2 linked regions of the Anolis sagrei genome follow. The protein of the gene in region 2 interacts with the protein of the main gene of each other region in a pairwise test. Links are inferred from orthologs where the notes say so. Each region holds a gene or a part of one and is shown on either strand. Other genes may lie near its edges.

Region 1 (10,357 bases), on a different chromosome or scaffold from region 2:
TTTTCTACCTCTTTCCTTCTTAGACTGAGCATGCGATCCCTGAACCGGATCACAAAGACGAGGCTCCAGGCAGCTATTTCGGCACGTCCTGAAATGACAGTGGTTTCCTACTATTCGCCCTCCTACCTGGCCTTCCCAGGTGATGAAGGATCATGGGGCATGTTTCCACGTTCCCAACAATTTTGACACTGAAGCTGGTGAAGGAGGGAACGATTGCAAGGCGCACTTCAAGGAGATTGGTTTGGCACATCACAATGGTTCTGCCCATTCCCCTAAAAGACCGTAAGGGTTACGTCTTCTTTTAGGACTGTTTCCAGAGGAAGGAGACTCAAAGGACCAAGGGTCTGGAGAACAAGCCCTATGAGGAGCGGCTTAAAGAGTTGGGCATGTTTAGCCTGAAGAAGAGAAGGTTGAGAAGGAGACAAATGCTAATCAACGTGGTCAGTTGAAACATTCACACCTAGCTCCAACAGACAAGAGTCCTTTGTCCCACCCTGGTCATTCCACAAATATATAAACCCAATTTTTCCTACTTCCAAAAGATCTCACTACCTCTGAGGATGCTTGCCATAGATGCAGGCGAAACATCAGGTGGGAATGCCTCTAGAACATGGCCATATAGCCTGAAAAATCTACAACAACCCAAGGCAAAAATGGTTCATTACATACATATAAAAATTCTGGTGATTTGGCCTAATGCTGAATTTTGCTGCAGGAAAAATGCTGCAGATTGACCAAGTATTGGGGCAATGTGGACAATGTCTGGACAATGTGGACAATATCTGGACAATGTGGCCGGTCCACTGGAGTTGATACTTTTCTATTGTTTCAGGAGTTCCCAACAACTAAGAGAGGAATAGACTTCCAAGTCCCATATTTCTTTGATTATTGTTTTTGGCCTTGAAAGCTTTTGCTGGATTCTTAAAATCTTGGAATTATAAATATTCTAATATAATTATAAAATTATAGGTGATCCCTTGTAGTCTGAGGATGATGGTCCTCCAAATGTAGTATCCTGGTGGTGGGTTCGTAGGTGACTGTGGAGCCCTATTCTTGACCTGCATCTTCTCCCACAGTGAGGGCATTGGTTTCCAGGTGGAAAGCGGTCCTGGTCGGGGTTGGCTTGACGCGCCTTCCTCTTGGTACATTTCTCTCTTTCGCCCTCCATTCGTGCCTGTTCAAATTCTGCAGCACTGCTGGTCACAGCTGACCTCCAGCTGCAGCACTCAAGGGCAAGGGCTTCCCAGTTCTCAGTGTCTGTGCCAGAAGAAATTTTTTAAGGTTGTCTTTGAGCCCATCTTTCAATCTCTTTTCCAACATTCCGTTTTCTGTTCTTGAGTTCGAAGTAGAGCAACTGCTTTGGGAGACGGTGGTCAGGCATCTGGACAATGTGGCCGGTCCACTGGAGTTGATGGCGGAGGACCATGGCTTCAATGCTGGTGATCTTTGCTTCTTCCAGCATGCTGACATTTGTCCGCTTGTCTTCCCAAGAGATTTGCAGGATTTTCTGGAGGCAGCACTGATGGAGTTGCATGTGACGTCTGTAGACAGTCCAGGTTTCGCAGGCGTATAGCAGGGTTGGGAGGACAATAGCTTTATAAAGAAGCACCTTGGTCTCCCTATGGATGTCCCGGTCCTCAAACACTCTCTGCTTCAGAACACTCTCTGAACAAAATCTGACTACCAGTATTAAAAACCTCTAAAATTAGAACAGCACAACAACAGGGAGGAAACAAACAAGGACATCTAATCACCTCTCAACAAAAGATGGTTCCAGGCACTGCCAGGCAATTGAATGCTAATCAAGGTGGTCAGTTGAAACATTCACACCTAGCTCCAGCAGACAAGAGTCCTTTGCCCCACCCTGGTCATTCCACAGATATATAAACCCTTTTTCCTAGTTCCAACAGACCTCACTACCTCTGAGGATGCTTGCCATAGATGCAGGCGAAACGTCAGGAGAAATGCCTCTAGAACATGGCCATATAGCCTGGAAAAACCTACAACAATCCACTCTCTGCTTCATTCAGAAAATAGCTGCACTCGCAGAGCTCAGGCGGTGTTGTATTTCAGTGTCAATGTTGACTTGGGTGGAGAGGTGGCAGCCAAGGGAGCAGAAATGATCAACATTTTCCAGTGTTTCACCATGTTCAGGAGGCAGCAAAGTATTATTATTATTGTTGTTGCTATTATTAATGATGATGCTGGAAAAGCACCATCAAAGCCCTCCCGACAGATGGCAATCCAGCCCCTGTATATCTGGCATTGGAGAGGAATTGGCTGGTGCCTTTTGTTGAAACAGCACATTGGTTTTCTCGATGTTCAATGACAGACCGAGCTTCTCGTATGCTTCTGCGAAGGTGTTGAGAGTGGCTTGTAGGTCTTCTTCTGAATGCGCACAGACAACGTTGTCATCAGCATACTGGAGTTCTATAACACATGTTGTAACCTTGGTTTTGGCTTTCAGTTGGCTGAGGTTGAATAGCTGTCCGAGAGATGATTTCCACTCTGTTGGGAAGCTTCCCATCAACAAGATGACGTATCATAGTGATGAAAATGAGTATGAACGCATAAGGAAAAATGCAAAAGCAAAGTCCCAAGACTTAATATAATGTCCAAATACGTAATATAGACATAATAATGCTAAAATAAATAATGTAATGTAAACAAACATAGATATAAATAATCTAAATAAATAAAAATATAATGGACGAATTGATACCAAATTTGGACACAATACACCTAACAACCCAATGTATGTTCTTCACTCAAAAACATGATTTTGTCATTTGGGAGTTGTAGTTGCTGGGATTTATAGTTCACCTACAATCAAAGAGCATTCTGAACATCACCAACGATGGAATTGAACCAAACTTGGGACACAGTTCTCCCATGACCACCAGAAAATACTGGAAGGGTTTGGTGGGCAGTGTCCTTTGGTTTTGGAGTTGTAGTTCACCTACATCCAGAGATCACTGTAAACTCAAGCAATGATGGATCTGGACCAAACTCTACACGAATACTCAACATGCCGAAATGTGAACACTGGTGGAGTTTGAGGAAAATAGAATCTTGACATTTGGGAGTCGTAGTTGCTGGGATTTATAGTTCACCTACAATCACAGAGCATTCTGAACACCACCAACGATAGAATTGGGCCAAACCTCCCACACAGAACCCTCATGTGGGACACAGAAACGCGTGGCAGGGGACGGCTAGTGCATTATAAAATATAGTTGAAATAATATAAAATAAACACTTAATTATAATTCATCTAGTTATAAAATCTAAAAGAAGTAATGAGTCTGAATGCATAAGGAAAAAATGCACAAGAAAAGCCTCAAAACTTAATATAATTGCAAAAGAAATAATATAAACAGAAAAGATGTGATATAAATATAAACAATACGGTACCGTTCCATTATATAATATAATACATGATAAAATCTAATGGAAATAATGTAAAATAAACAATTATAAGTAGTATAATTATAAAATCTATTTGAATCATAATAATTTGTAATTACTCGTTTGTTTTACATTAATAATTAACACAGCACTAAGAGATGTAATATAAATAATATATTCTATATAAATAAAAATGTAATGTTCGTTTGTGGGATTAACATAACTCAAAAATCACTGGACGAATTGCCAAATTTGGACACAAGACACCTAACAACCCAGTTTATGTCCTTCACTCATAAAAACACTGAAAAACACAGCAGAAGGGACTTTAAAAGCCAAAAAACAAAAACAAAAAATATAACGCACACACAAAACCATATATACACACACACAAACACACATATATGCATATACACACACAAAACACATACACAGAAAGGAGGAAAGGAGGAGAGCAGAAGGGAGAGACGGAAGGAAAGGAGGAGGGGAGGAGACAACGAAGGAAAGAAAGAAGGGTAGAGAAGGAATGAGGGAAAGAAAAAGGGAAGGAGAGAAGGAAGGAAAGAAGGAAGAGTAGAGAAGGAAGGAAGGAGAGAAAGAAGGAGGGGAGGGGAGAAGTAAGGAAGGAAAAAAAGGATAGAGAAGAAATGAAGGAGAGAAGGAGGGAGAGAAAGAGGGAAGGAGAGAAGGAAGGGTAGCGAAGGAAGGAAGGAGAGAAGGAGGGAAAGAAGGAAGGGTAGAGAAGGAAGGAAGGAGAGAAGGAGGGAAAGGAGGAAGTGAAGGAGAGAAGGAAGGAAAGAAGGAAGGGTAGAGAAGGAAGGAAGGAGAGAGAGGAAGGAGAGAAGGAAGGAAAGAAGGAAGGGTAGGGAAGGAAGGAAGGAGAGGAGGGAAAGAAGGAAGGGAGGAGATAAGGAAAGAAGGAAGAGTAGGGAAGGAAGGAGGGAGGGAGGGAGAGAAAGGGAAGGAGAGAAGGGAGGAGAGAAGGGAGGAGATAAAGAAGGAAAGAAAGAAGGGTAGAGAAGGAAGGAGGGAGAGAAAGAGGGAAGGAGAGAAGGAAGGAAAGAAGATAGGGTAGAGAAGGAAGGAAGGAGAGGAGGGAAAGAAGGAAGGGAGGAGATAAGGAAAGAAGGAAGAGTAGGGAAGGAAGGAGGGAGGGAGGGAGAGAAAGGGAAGGAGAGAAGGAAGGAGAAAAGGGAGGAGATAAAGAAGGAAAGAAAGAAGGGTAGAGAAGGAAGGAGGGAGAGAAAGAGGGAAGGAGAGAAGGAAGGAAAGAAGGAAGGGTAGAGAAGGAAGGAAGAAGAGAAGGAGGGAAAGAAGGGAGGAAGGAGATAAAGAAGGAAAGAAGGAAGGGTAGAGAAGGAAGGAGGGAGAGAAAAAGGGAAGGAGAGAAGGAAGGAAAGAAGGAAGGGTAGAGAAGAAAGGAAGGAGAGAGAGAAAGAAGAAGGAGAGAAGGAAGGAAAGAAGGAAGGAAGAAGAGAAGGAGGGAAAGAAGGAAGAGAGGAGATAAAGAAGGAAAGAAAGAAGGGCAGAGAAGGAAGGAAGGAGAGAAGGAGGGAAGGAAGAGAGGAGATAAAGAAGGAAAGAAAGAAGGGCAGAGAAGGAAGGAAGGAGAGAAGGAGGGAGAAAAAAGAGGGAAAGGAGGGAAGGGGAGAAGGAAAGAAAGAAAGGTAGAGAAGGAAGGAAGGGAGAGAAAGAGGGAAAGAAGGAGGGAAGGAGAGAAAGAAGGAAGAAAGGAGAGAAGGAGGGAATGAAATAAAAAAGTGAAAGAGGGAAGGAAGGAGAGAAGGAATAAAAGAGAGAAAGAAGGAAGGAAGGAAGGAAGGAGAGAAAGAAGGAGGGAAGAAGAGAAAGAAGGAAGGAAGGAGAGAAAGAGAGAATGAAATAAAAAAATGAAAGAGGGGAGGAAGGAGAGAAGGAATAAAAGAGAGAAAGGGGAAGGGAAGGAAGGAAAGAGAGAAGGATGGAACCAAAGAGCAAAGGAAGCGAGGAAAGAAACAGCTAGAGAAGGAAGAAAGAAGAAGGGAAAGAAAAAGAGGGATGAAAGGAAGGAGAGAAAGAAAGGAGGAGAGAAAGAGGGAGGGAAGGTTGGCCATAGCAAGGCATGGCAGGTATAGCTAGTGTCTTATAAAATCCAACAGAAATCATCTGAAATTTAGAATTAGGATTTTGAATTAAATTTCCCAACACGCCCCCTGGAGGCCGGCTGAGCAATGTACTCCTTCAACCGAGGGGCGTGGTCTTGCTTGGCGGTTCGTCCAATGGGAAGGCGGGGGCGGGGTTTCGCTCCTCGCTCTGCGCGGGGAAACCTCTCTTCCTGGCTTCTCCTCTGCGTCATAAGGAGGCGCCTGTGACGCGCATGCGCGGAAGAGCAGCCGGCTCTGTAGGAAGCAGGAGAGGCGCCATTTTTCCCTGAGCGCCCTCTGAGCAGGAAAGCAGGCAGGCAGCAGGTGAGCGGGAGCGGAGTGGGGCCTACACCATACCGAGAGAACTTGTTGTTATATTATTACTGTTATGTTTATTATTACCGTATGTTTTTTCTTTCCACAGAAGAGACTTCAAGTCTATATATAATCATAGAATCATAGTCCAACCCCATTCTGCCAAGAAGCAGGAATATTGCATTCAAATCACCCCTGACAGATGGCCGTCCAGCCTCTGTTTAAAAGTCTCCAAAGAAGGAGCCTCCACCACCATATAATATAATATATAATAATATAATATTATTAATAATATTATGCGTTTTTCCACAAAGGAGGCTCCAAGAGAGATATTGACTCTAAGCTGGAATGTGCCCAGAGGAGGGCGACTCAAATGATCAAGGGTCTGCAGAACAAGCCCTATGAGGAGCGGCTTAAGGAGTTGGGCATGTTTAGCCTGAAGAAGAGAAGGCTGAGAGGAGATATGATGAGGGCCATGTATAAATATGTGAGAGGAAGCCACAGGGAGCAGGGAGCAGATCAAGGGTCTGGAGAAGAAGCCCTATGAGGAGCGGCTTAAGGAGCTGAGCATGTTTAGCTTGAAGAAGAGAAAGATGAGAGGAGACATGATGAGGGCCATGTATAAATATGTGAGAGGAAGCCACAGGGAGCAGATCAAGGGTCTGGAGAACAAACCCTATGAGGAGCGGCTTAAGGAGCTGAGCTGAGCATGTTTAGCTTGAAGAAGAGAAGGCTGAGAGGAGATATGGTCAGCGCCATGTATAAATATGTCAGAAGAAGCCACAGGGAGGAGGAGGGAGCAAGCTTCCTTTCTGCTTCCCTGGAGACTGGGACGCAATGGAACAATGGCTTCAAATTACAGGAAAGGAGATTCCATCTGAACGTGAGGAAGAACTTCCTGACTGTGAGAGCCGTTCAGCAGTGGAACTCTCTGCCCCGGAGTGTGGTGGAGGCTCCTTCTTTGGAAGCTTTTAAGCAGAGGCTGGATGGCCATCTGTCAGGGGTGATTTGAATGCAATATTCCTGCTTCTTGGCAGAATGGGGTTGGACTGGATGGCCCAGGAGGTCTCTTCCAACTCTTTGATTCTATGATTCTATGAAACCTATATAATATATAATAATAATTTATTAATAATAACATGTTTATGTTTTTTTCCACAAAGGAGGCGCCAAACCTATATATATATATATATATATATATATATGAAACATTATAAAACATAATAAACATTGTGTGTGTGTATATATATTTATATGTTGTTTATTATGTTTTATGACGATGATTATATTTATTTATTATGATTATTTTCCACAAAGGAAGCTCCAAACCTATATATATGAAACATCATAAAGCATAATAAACATTGTGTATATGTGTGTGTGTGTATATATGTTGTTTATTATGTTTTATGACGATGATGATGTTTGTTTATTATGCTTTTTCTTTCCACAAAGGAAATTCCAAGCCAGTTTATTTATTATTATTTTTCCCACAAAGGAGGGTCCAAACCTCTATCTATCTATCTATCTATCTATCTATCTATCTATCTATAATAAACACTATATATATATATATATATATATATTGTTTATTATGTTTTATTATGATGATTTATTATGTTTTATGATGTTTCATATATGTGTGTGTGTGTGTGTGAAACATCATAAAACATAATAAACATTGTGTGTGTGTGTGTGTGTATATATATATATATTGTAATGTTTATAACAATGATTATGTTTATTTATTATGCTTTTTCTTTCCATAAAGGAAATTCCAAGCCAGTTTATTAATTACTATTTTTCCTACCAAGGAGGTTCCAAACCTATATATATATATATATAGTTTATTATGTTTTATTATGATTTATTATGTTTCATATGTGTGTGTGTGTGTGTGTGTGTGTGTGAAACATCATAAAACATAATAAACATTGTATGTGTGTATATGTGAATGACTCGGGACTATGTCTGTTCTTGTTTTTATTGTATTTTAAAGTTAATTGTATTGTTTTAATCTACTGCTGTAAACCGCTCCGAGCCAAATTGGGAGTAGCGGTATACAAGTCAAATAAATAAATATCTCTGTGTGTATATATATTTATATATTGTTTATTATGTTTATGACAATGATTATGTTTATTTATTATGCTTTTTCTTTCCTTTGTGGAAAGTCAGGAGGTGCTGTGGTTTTTAGCTTTAAATATGTTTTAATGGATTTTAACTGCAATTTTGTTAGTACCGTTACGTTTAATTCTGTTTTAATATTTGTATATTTTAAATTATGTGTTCATACTTTTAATGTAAGCCGCTTTGAGTCTCCTTTGGTAGAGATAAAGGGAGGTATATATAAACAACAACAACAATAATATGTATATATGCAAAATTCATATTGCTTGTCCTAGCATTAGACACTAACATTCTGATTAGATGTTTAAGTTTTCTTTTTCTTCTCTTTGCTTGATATCAAGTGTTGATCATGGAGAACTATCAGAAATCCAAAACGGTGGAGAAGCCTTCTCCTCTTCCTTTCGCCAACTTGCCCCCTGATATCATTGAGATGAAAGTGAAGGATGGCAGCAAAATCCGGAACCTGATGGGTTACGCCATCGGCAAGATGGAGTCCGAGGCCATGAGGCAGGTCCTCTTCAGCGGGGTGGGCAAAGCGATTAGCAAGACGATCACCTGCGTGGAGATCATGAAGCGGAGGATGAAGCACCTCCACCAGATCACCAAAGTGTTCTTCAAGCAAATAGAGGAGATTTGGGAACCCATCGTTCCGGAGGTTGGCCTCGACCCTTTGACGGTGAAGCGGAACATCCCTGCCATTTGTGTCCTGCTAAGCAAAGACCCCCTGGACACTCAAGCGCCGGGGTATCAAGCCCCGGGGTCCTTCGATGCCTTCTGGTTGGAGACGCTCAAGTCGGAATCTCAAGGCCAGGCCAAGAGGAAGCAGGGAGGAGGAGGGAGAGGGGCTGGCCGGACTGGGAAGCATCCTCGCTCCCTCGGACGGGAGGACTCCTACAAGAAGCCTTGAGGAAGCTGAGCTTCCGAGTGCCAGGAATTGTCTCCAGAACCAAGAAAAGCCAGATAGCTTTCACCTTAATGTTGGAAACAGTGAGAGTGGGAAGTTACATCGAGGGAGTGGGGGGAAAAGGGCAGGTGTGTCTGTTTGAACGCAAATACCAAGTCATATTGGATGGATTGAACATGAAGGTGTTCTAGCTTTGAGCCTTTCCCTTACAGAGAGTTTTCAGTTTACGTTTAGAAGCAGTGAGAGATGGAAGATATATTGGATAGAAGGGTCTGTCTGAATGTAAACACTAAGTTGTATTGGATGGATTGAAGTGGAAAGCCTCCTAGCTTTGGGTTTTTACCTTATGGGGGAAGCCTTCTTTGTATTACATAAAGTCTGTTCAGGAAAGGGATACTTGGAATAGTCGTGGAAAGGAAATGCAAGATATTCCTCAGTGGGAAGATGTCCCTCTCTCGTACAAGGATGGCTGATGGAGTCAGTTTTCCCCCTCCTGTTATCTGGTTGTTTTCTTGCCGTTGCAAGAGTCTTGCACTTTGCAATTTTGGTCAGATTCCCATATTATGGGACAACTTACTGGACACCCACTCCCAAATCATGAATTGTTTTGCTGTTACTATGAAACTTTTGCTAACTCCTTACAGCTTCTGGGAAGCTCAGTACTTGAAATAAGAAACTTAAACCTTCCTGGTCATTCAAGAAAGGAGAATCAAATCTTGATTTAGCATAAAGATAGGAAGGTGCTTGTCAGTTTTGCTGGGTTTTACTTATGTGATTGTGCCAAGGATCTGTCTTTTCATAAGTTAAAAAGACTCTTAACTATCTCAGAATCTTGTAAGAACTACTGATTGTGGGATTTGAAATCTATATAAATAAAAATATAATGTTCGTTTGTGGGATTAACATAACTCAAAAATCACTGGATGCATTGACACCAAATTTGGACACAAGACATCTAACAGGCCAGTGATTGACCATCACTCATAACCTCCCCCACCCCACCCCAAAAAAGAGCGGAAAGGACTTAAAACACCAAAAAGCTAAATGATGAAAAGCTAAATGACTATACAGAAAAAAGGGAAGGAAGTAAAGAGGGGGGAAGGAAGGAGAGAAAGAAATAAAGAAAGAGAGGGGAAGGAAGGAAGGAGGTAGAGAAGGAAGAAAGAGAAAGTGGGATGGAAAGAAAAAGGAGGGAAGAAGGAAAGAAAGAAGGAGAGAAAGAGGGAAAGAGAAGGAAGGAAGGAGGTAGAGAAGAAAGCAGAGAGTGGGAGGGAAAGTAAAAGGGGGAGGAAGGAAAGAGGTGGAAAAGAAAGGAAGGAGAGAAGGAAAGAAAAAAGTGAAGGAAGGAAAGGGGGGAAGGAAGGAGGGAAAGAAAGGGAGAAAGAGAGAGGGAAGGTTGGCTACAGCAACGCGTGGTGATACAGCTAGTTATATATATATTTGTCCATAATGGGAGGGGCAATGTATATTTTTTGCT
Region 2 (10,152 bases):
TAGGCAGTAAGAGCACCTAAAGCTTTGGAGAGCTTCTGTTCCACCATTTCTAAGCTCCCTGCTTGAGCGTTGATGGCATGATCGTCGGCGTATATGAAACTCTCTGTCCCTTCTAGTCATTTGTGTCAATGTTAAACATGGATGGAGCAAGTTGGTTTCCCCTGTAATAGGCAGTAAGAGCACCTAAAGCTTCGGAGAGCTTCTGTTCCGCCATTTATTTCAAAGCTCTCTGCTTGAGCGTTGATGGTATGATCGTCAGCATATATTAAACTCTCTGTCCCTTCTAAGTCATTTGTATAAATATTAAACAAGCTGGTTTTCCCTGTAATAGGCAGTAAGACCAACTAAAGCTTCAGAGAGCTTCTGTTGAACCATTTCAAAGCTCCCTGATTGAGCGTTGATGGCATGATCGTCAGCGTATATTAAACTCTCTGTCCCTTCTGGTCATTTGTGTCAATGTTTAACATGGATGGAGCAAGCTGGTTTTCCCTGTAATAGGCAGTAAGAGCACCTAAAGCTTTGGAGAGCTTCTGTTGAACCATTTCAAAGCTCCCTGTTTGGGCAGTGATGGCACTGTCGTCAGCATATATGAAAACTCTCTGTCCCTTCTGGCAGTGGTTGGTCATTTGTGTCAATGTTAAACACGAGGAACTGTATTAAGAGGCATTAGGAAAATTGAGAAACACTGACCTAAAGCTTTGGAGAGCTTCTGTTCAGCCATTTCAAAGCTCCCTGCTTGAGCAGTGATGGCGGCGTCATCAGCATAGATGAAAACTCTCTATCCCTTCTGGCAGTGGCTGGTCATTTGTGTACATGTTAAACACGAGGAATGGTATTAAGAGGCATTGGGAAGGTTGAGAAACATTGACTAAAAGCTTCGGAGAGCTTCTCTTCAGCCATTTCAAAACTCCCTGTTTGAGCGGTGATGACACCGTCATCTGCATATATGGAACTCTCTGTCCCTTCTGGCAGTGGCTGGTCATTTGTGTAAACGTTAAACATGAGGAACTGTATTAAGAGCCATTAGGAAGGTTGAGAAACACTGATCTAAAGCTTTGGAGAGCTTCTGTTGAACCATTACAAAGGTCTCTGCTTGAGCGTTGATGGCACTGTCATCAGCATAGATGAAACTCTGTGTGTCTTCTGGCAGTGGCTGGTCATTTGTGTCAATGTTAAACATGAGGAACTGTATTAAGAGGCATTAGGAAGATTGAGAAACACTGACCTAAAGCTTTGGGGAGCTTCTGTTCAGCCATTACAAAGCTCTCAGCTTGGGTGGTGATGGCAAGATCGTCAGCATATATTAAACTCTCTGTCCCTTCTGGCAGTGGCTGGTCATTTGTGTACATGTTAAACACGAGGAACGGTATTAAGAGGCATTGGAAAGGTTGAGAAACATTGACTAAAAGCTTCGGAGAGCTTCTCTTCAGCCATTACAAAGCTCTCTGCTTGAGCGGTGATGGCGGCGTCATCAGCATAGATGAAAACTCTCTGTCCCTTCTGGCAGTGGCTGGTCATTTGTGTAGATCATAAACGTTGATGGAGCAAGCACGCTCCCCTAAAGCAGGCAGTTCTTCTGTTTTCGCCATCTGCGATGGAACTCAACGATGGATGGAACTCAACAAAAAAGCTCCTGTTTTGTAGCAGATTTCCTATGATTCCCTTTGTGATACTATAAGTTTTTCTCAGGAGGAGGCAATGATTTATAGTATCACAAGTAGCTGGCAAGTCTATGAAGACAGCGCCTGTCATTGTATTTAATTATAAATATATATTGTATCTAATGCAGCCTGTACATAATTGCAATTTCTTAAAAAATCTATATAATTCTATGGATACAGAAGGATAACTGTATCCACTACGCTGTTTTATATGTATTTGTTGTCGCTCTAATAGAGAGAAGCTCTATTAGAGCGCTACACCGCTGGAGAAATTATACAGTTTAGCTGACTCCAGGAGGTTCCGGGTTTGAGCCTGCCACTTTTGGACTCTTGCTTGCTGAGGTGCAAGCAAGAGTCCAAAAGCGGCAGCCTGAAACTCGGAAGCTCAATCAGTCGCTGAGACCAGATGAGAGACTCCCTCCTGGGCACATTGAAGACGAGGTGACTTGGAAGGCGCTGAATAGACTGCGCTCTGGGAGAGGATGGACCGTGGATGATGGGATTTGTAGTACCTTCACCCGGTTCACTTCCCACAGAACACGGTGGCCCCCACAAATCACAGGTTGGCACACAGAGCCCCCATGACCCACTCAACATCTCGGTGCAGTCTGGAGAAGGATGGAACATGGACGATGGGACTTGCAGTTCCTTCACTCACTTCCTGAGACCGCTGCGACCCTCACCAATGACGGACCAAGACCAAACTTGGCACACAGACCCCTCACGACCAACTCTACATCCTGGTGTGGTTTGGAGGACAATGGAACATGGATGATGGGACTTGCAGTTCCTTCACTCACTTCCTGCGACCACTGCGACCCTCACTAATGACGGACCAAGACCAAACTTGGCACACAGGACCCTCCATGACCAACTGTACATCATGGTGCGGTTTCAAGGACAATGGAACATGGATGATGGGACTTCCAGTTCCATCACTCACTTCCTGCGACCACTGCGACTCTCACCAATGACGGACCAAGACCAAACTTGGCACACAGACCTCTCATGTCCAACTCTACATCCAGGTGTGGTTTGGAGGACGATCGAACATGGACGATGGGACTTGCAGTACCTTCACTCACTTCCTGCGACCGCTGTGACCCTCAGCAATGACTGACCAAGACCAAACTTGGCACACAGACCCCCCCATGTCCAACTCTACATCCAGATGTGGTTTGAAGGACGATGGAACATGGATGATGGGACTTGCAGTTCCTTCACTCACTTCCTGCGACCACTGCGACCCTCACCAATGACCGATAAAGACCAAACTTGGCACACAGAGGCCCATGAACTGCAACCCTAATCCAATGACCGATAAAGACCAAACTTGGCACACAGACCCCTCCATGACCAACTCTACATCCTGGTGCGGTTTGGAGAACGATGGAACATGGACGATGGGACTTGCAGTACCTTCATTCACTTTCTGAGACCACTGCGACCCTCACGAATGACTGACCAAGACCAAACTTGGCACACAGACCCCCCCCCCATGTCCAACTCTACATCCAGATGTGGTTTGGAGGATGATAGAACATGGACGACGGGACTTGCAGTACTTTCACTCACTTCCTGCGATCGCTGCGACCCTCACCAATGACGGACCAAGACCAAACTTGGCACACAGACCCCTCATGTCCAACTCTACATCCAGATGTGGCTTGGAGGACGATGGACTATGGACGATGGGACTTACAGTACCTTCACTCACTTCCTGCGACCACTGCGACCCTCACCAATGACTGACCAAGACCAAACTTGGCACACAGACCCCTCATGTCCAACTCTACATCCAGAGGTGGTTTGAAGGACGATGGAACATGGACGATGGGACTTGCAGTACCTTCACTCACTTCCTGAGACTGCTGCAACCCTCACCAATGACTGATCAAGAACAGACCCCTCCATGACCAACTCTACATCCTGGTGTGTTTTGGAGAATGATGGAACATGGACGATGGGACTTGCAGTACCTTCACTCACTTCCTGCGACCGCTGTGACCCTCAGCAATGACTGACCAAGACCAAACTTGGCACACAGAGCCCCCATGACCAACTCTACATCCTGGTGCGGTTTGGAGAACGATGGAACATGGACGATGGGACTTGCAGTTCCTTCACTCACTTACTGCGATCGCTGCAACCCTCACCAATGACTGCACTCTACACCGCTGGAGAAATTATACAGTTTAGCTGACTCCAAGAGATTCCGGGTTTGAGCCTGCCACTTTTGGACTCTTGCTTGCTGAGGTGCCCACTCAACATCTTGGTGCAGTCTGGAGAAGGATGGAACATGGACAATGGGACTTGGTCCCTTCACTCACTTCCTGAGACCACTGCGACCCTCACCAATGACAGACCAAGACCAAACTTGGCACACATGTCCAAGTCTACCTGTCCTGCCCTACCACAACCACATCCATGTTGCAATGATTTACCTTCTCTGATTGAATTCTGGGTCGTCGTCATCCTCGTCCAGCACTTTGCCCGGTTCCCAGCTGTGCCGTCGGAAAGCGTCGTAGGGGGTGGCGCAGCCCCTCAAGCGCATTGGCACCCCCAAAAACTGCACATCGTCCCCCATCTCCTCTTCTGGCTCCACGGCGCATGGCTCCACCGCAGAGAGGCTGCGCTGCTTCAGGACCAGCGGGGAGACCGGGACTCCACTCATTCCTCGCGGAGCATCCGAAGGCTGGAAAGAGAAGAAGGGGAAATCAATGGGTGCACTAGGTCTCCCAGCACAGCTAATGCCTAGCAAGGTTTGCTGTTTAGGGATCTCTAGTTCTGGGTTGTTGTGAGTTTTTCAGGCTGTATGGCCATGCTCCTGATGCATTCTCTCCTGACGTTTCGCCTGCATCTGTGGCTGGCATATGCAGAGCTTTCGTTGGCTGTGAAGCAAGTGGAGTGTGCATCGACCTCTGACGAAATGCATCTAGATCCTCCAGCACAAATAAATATGAATATATAAATAAAAATATAAAAATATATAAAAATAAAAAATATAAAATATATAAAAATATAAAATATAAATAAATAAATATAAAATATGGAAATATAGAAACATAGAAATGTAAATGTAAAAAAAGAAAAATAAAGAATAGAAAAATAGAATAAAAGAAAAATATAAATAATATATAAATATATAAATATATATAAATATATAAATAAAAATAGAAAAATAGAAAAATATAAATAAAATAGAAAAATAGAAAATAGAAAATATAAATATAAAAAAATTAAAAAAAAGAAATATATAAATAAAAATAGAAAATAGAAAATATAAATATAAAAAAATTAAAAAAAAGAAATATATAAATAAAAATAGAAAATAGAAAAATATAAATAAATATATAAAAATATTATATATCTAAACTAAAAATATATAAATATAAAAAATAAAAATAAAAATATAAAAATAGGAAAATATAATTAAAATATAAAAATATAAATATATAAATAAAAATAGAAAAATAGAAATAAATATATAAAAATATAATATATAAATAAATATATTTATAAAATACCTATATATACATATATATATACATATACATATACATATATATATATATATATATATATAGAAAAATAGAAAAATAGAAATAAATATATAAAATGTATAATACAAATAAATATATATATAAAAATATAAAAAATATAACAATAAAAACAGAAAAAATAGAATAATATAATAAAAAATAAATATATATAAATATATATAAATAAAAATATGAAAATAGAAAAATATAAATAAATGTATAAAATATAATATATATAATAGAAAAATATAAATAGAAAAAATATAAATAGAAAATAGAAAAATAGAAAAACAGAAAAAACAGAAAAAATTATAAATAAAATTTTAAAATATAAATAAAAATATTTATATATAAATATATAAATAAATATAAAAATATAAATATATAAATAAATATATATATAAATAAAAATATAAAAATACAAAAATATAAAAGTTATATATATATATATATAAATAGAAAATAGAAAAATAGAAAAAACAGAAAAAATAGAAAAAATTATAAATAAAATTTTAAAATATGAATAAAAATATTTATATATGAATATATAAATAAAATAAAAATATAAAAATATAAAATATAAATAAATATATATAAAAATAAAAATATAAAAATACAAAAAATATAAAAATAATATATATATAAATATAAAAAGAAAAATAGAAAAATAGAAAAAATAGAAAAAATTATAAATAAAATTTAAAAATATAAATAAATGTATTTATATATAAATATATAAATAAAAATATAAAAATACAAAAAATATAAAAATTATATATATATATATATATATATATATATATATATATAAACAAAAATATAAATATATACAAAACAATAAACAATAAATAAATAAATATAAATATATATAAAAATAAACATAAATATCACCACACATATCACTATTAAAATTTCTGCCCCTCGGGCAACCGAGGTTGTCCTAACAACATAACACTAAACAACTCCAAGTCCATAGGGTTTGGAATAAATCTGGAGTGAGACCCATTCAAATCCCGGTCTCCTTGATTCCGGGTCCAATCCTTGCCTTGCCCAGCTTGGTTCACCTGCTCTTCGCTCTCGTCTCTTCTGCAAGCCTTCCTTGCTTCTCTTTCCAAAAGATAGGAAAGGGAAGCGCTGGCGTGACTTTGCTCCTATCCTGTTTGGGTTTTCCACCACTCACTCCTCCCAATGTTCCCTTTGGTGCTTTCCTCCTTTCTCTCCGCTTATCTTTTGCAGAATCAGCACAGCCAACTTTCCAAAGGGAGAGAAGAACCAATGGAGCCCGGCCAGGCAGACAGGATACTCACTGGGAATATGCTCATAATAAAGCAGCTCCACTGTGCTCTCTTTGATTGTAGGTGAACTATAAATCCCAGCAACTACAACTCCCAAATGTCAAGGTCTATTTCCCCCAAACTCCACCAGTGTTCACATTTGGGCATATTGAGTATTCATGCCAAGTTTGGTCCAGATCCATCATTGTTTGAGTCCACAGTGCTCTCTGGATGTAGGTGAACTACAACTCCCAAACTCAAGGTCAATGCCCACCAAACCCTCCCAGTATTTTCTGTTCGTCGTGGGAATTCTGTGTGCCAAGTTTGGTTCAATTCCATCGTTGGTGGAGTTCAGAATGCTCCTTGATTGTAGGTAAACTAGAAATCCCAGCAACTACAACTCCCAAATGACAAGGTCTATTTTCTCCAAACTCCACCAGTGTTCACATTTGGGAATATTGAGTGTCCATGCCAAGTTTGGTCCAGATCCATCATTGTTTGAGTCCACAGTGCTCTCTGGATGTAAGTGAACTACAACTCCAAAACTCAAGGTCAATGCCCATCAAACCCATCTAGTGTTTCCTCTTGGTCATAGGAGTTCTGTCTGCCAAGTTTGGTTCAATTCCATTATCAGTGGAGTTCAGAATGCTCTTTGATTGTAGGTGAACTATAAATCCCAGCAAGTACAACTCCCAAATGTCAAGGTCTATTTTCTCCAAACTCCACCAGTGTTCACATTTGGGCATATTGAGTGTCCGAGCCATGTTTGGTCCAGATCCGTCACTGTTTGAGTCTCTGGATGTAGGTGAACTACAACTCCCAAACCCAAGGTCAATGCCTACCAAACTCTCCCAGTATTGTCTGCTGGTGATGAGAGTTTTGTGTGCCAAGTTTGGTTCAATTCCATTGTTGGTGGAGTTCAGAATGCTCTTTGATTCTAGGTGAACTATAAATCCCAGCAACTACAACTCCCAAATGTCAAGGTCTAATTGCCCCAAACTCCACCAGTGTTCACATTTGGGCATATTGAGTATCCTTGCCAAGTCTGGTCCAGATCCATCATTGTTTGAGTCCACAGTGTTCTCTGGATGTAGGTGAACTACAACTCCCAAACTCAAGGTCTCGTAGCCCCAAACTCCACCACATTTGGGCATATTGAGTATCCGTGCCAAGAATGAAAATACATCCTGCATATCTGATATTTACATGATGATTCAGAACAGGAGCAAAATGACAGGAGTTTTTTGGGGGTGAACTTGGCATAATGGGAGTTGTAGTTCACCCACAAACCCTTATGTACTTGGTACAATTAATATACTAACTTTTTTTTTCAAATAGCCTGGGCAACTCCGGGTAACCAAAGTAGTAAACAAATAGAGTGACCTTATAAAACTACAACTCTCCTGACCTTATAAAACTACAACTCTCAGGATTGATTCAAAAATAGAGCGAGAGAGAGAGAGGAAACAATCTGGGATGAGGTCAGGCTCGGAGAAGAGGAATGATCTCAGATTTGGGAGGAAACGCTTCTATGGGAACCTTGGGAAAGTGTACACAACAGCGCAAAGCCCGGTCCCACCCAGCCGAGGAAGGGAACGCGGGCAAAGGTGACCCGAACCGGCCGCCAAGCCTGGGAAATTGTAGTTTTGCAAGGTCTTCGGCCAAACGACAACTCCCAGGATGCCAGAGCATGGAACCAGTGGGGTCAAATCCAGCAAAAGCAATAGAAAATAGCAATAAAGATGAATGATAACAACATTTCTCCCCGTTTCCAAGATTTCAATGCCCGTACTTGCCAAACTACAACTCCCAGGATCCCAAAGCATCGCTTGACGTGCCATGGCTCAATGCTTGGAGACCGTCCTCACCAAACTACAACTCCCAGGATCCCAAAGCATTGAGCTGTGGCACGTCAAGTGATGCTTTGGGATCCTGGGAGTTGTAGTTTGGCAAGTACGGTCTCAAAGGCTGTACTTGCCTGTACTTGTTAAACTACAACTCCCAGGATCCCAAAGCATCACTTGATGTGCCACGGCTCAATGCTTTGAGACCGTACTCACCAAACTACAACTCCCAGGATCCCAAAGCATCGCTTGATGATACTTTGAGACTATACTTGCCAAACTGCAAATCCCAGGATCCCAAAGCATCACTTGACAGGCCATGGCTCAATGCTTTGAGACCGTACTCGCCAAACTACAATTCCCAGGATCCCAAAGCATCGCTTGGCGTGCCACTGCTCAATGCTTTGAGACCGTACTTGCCAAACTATAACTCCCAGGATCCCAAAGCATCGCTTGATGATGTTTTGAGACCGTACTCGCCAAACTACAATTCCCAGGATCCCAAAGCATTGAGCCGTGGCACATCAAGCAATACTTTGCGATCCTAGGAGTTGTTGCTTGTACTTGCCAAACTGCAACTCCCAGGATTCCAAAGCATCGCTTGACATGCCACGGCTCAATGCTTTGAGACCGTACTCACCAAATTACAACTCCCAGGATCCCAAAGAATTGCTTGACATGCTAGGGGTCAATGCTTTGAGACTGTACTCGCCACACTACAACTCCCAGGATCCCAAAGCATCGCTTGATGGTGCTTTGAGACCGTACTCGCCAAACTGCAACTCCCAGGATCCCAAAGCATCACTTGACAGGCCACGGCTCAATGCTTTGAGGCCATGCTCGCCAAACTACAACTCCCAGGATCCCAAAGCATCACTTGACGTGCCACGGCTCAATGCTTTGGGATCTTGGGAGTTGTAGTTTGGCAAGTACGGTCTCCAAGCATTGAGCCATGGCACGTCAAGCGATGCTTTGGGATCCTGGGAGTTGTAGTTTGGCAAGTATGGGCATTGACAGGCCATGGTTCAATGCTTTGAGACCATACTCACCAAACTACAACTCCCAGGATCCCAAAGCATCACTTGATATGCCACGGCTCAATGCCTTGAGACTGTACTCACCAAACTGCAACTGCCAGGATCCCAAAGCATCGCTTGATATGCCATGGCTCAATGCTTTGAGACTGTACTCACCAAACTACAACTCCCAGGATCCCAAAGCATCACTTGACGTGCCACGGCTCAATGCTTTGGGATCTTGGGAGTTGTAGTTTGGCGAGTACGGTCTCCAAGCATTGAGCCGTGGCACGTCAAGCGATGCTTTGGGATCCTGGGAGTTGTAGTTTGGCAAAGTACGGGCATTGACGGGCCATGGTTCAATGCTTTGAGACCGTACTCGCCAAACTACAACTCCCAGGATCCCAAAGCATCACTTGATGTGCCACGGCTCATTGCTTTGAGACTGTACTCACCAAACTACAACTCCTAGGATCCCAAAGCATCACTTGATATGCCACGGCTCAATGCTTTGAGACCGTACTTTCCAAACTACAACTCCCAGGATCCCAAAGCATCACTTGACAGGCAATGGTTCAATGCTTTGAGACCGTACTCGCCAAACTACAACTCCCAAGATCCCAAAGCATTGCTTGATGATGCTTTGAAACTGTACTCACCAGACTACAACTCCCAGGATTCCAAAGCATCACTTGACAGGCAATGGTTCAATGCTTTGAGACTGTACTCACCAAACTACAACTCCCAGGATCCCAAAGCACCACTTGACAGGCTATGGCTCAATGCTTTGAGACCGCACTTGCCAAACTACAACT

What was found.
Region 1: the proteins of ARHGEF2 (region 2) and RPP25L interact in binary tests that used the Homo sapiens proteins (3 or more experiments, as listed by UniProt). The two-hybrid records come from large-scale screens. The link is inferred for Anolis sagrei from reciprocal best matches to the Homo sapiens genes ARHGEF2 and RPP25L.

The regions. Positions count from the first base shown.
Region 1 is NC_090022.1:300,713,580-300,723,936, forward strand, and holds the start of RPP25L (ribonuclease P protein subunit p25-like protein), read left to right. Parts: upstream 1-5,773; 5' UTR 5,774-5,855; intron 5,856-8,317; 5' UTR 8,318-8,325; coding exon 8,326-8,883; 3' UTR 8,884-10,357. UniProt on the Homo sapiens protein: May be a component of ribonuclease P or MRP.
Region 2 is NC_090032.1:20,908,907-20,919,058, forward strand, and holds the start of ARHGEF2 (rho guanine nucleotide exchange factor 2), read right to left. Parts: upstream 4,316-10,152; 5' UTR 4,249-4,315; coding exon 4,106-4,248; intron 1-4,105. UniProt on the Homo sapiens protein: Activates Rho-GTPases by promoting the exchange of GDP for GTP.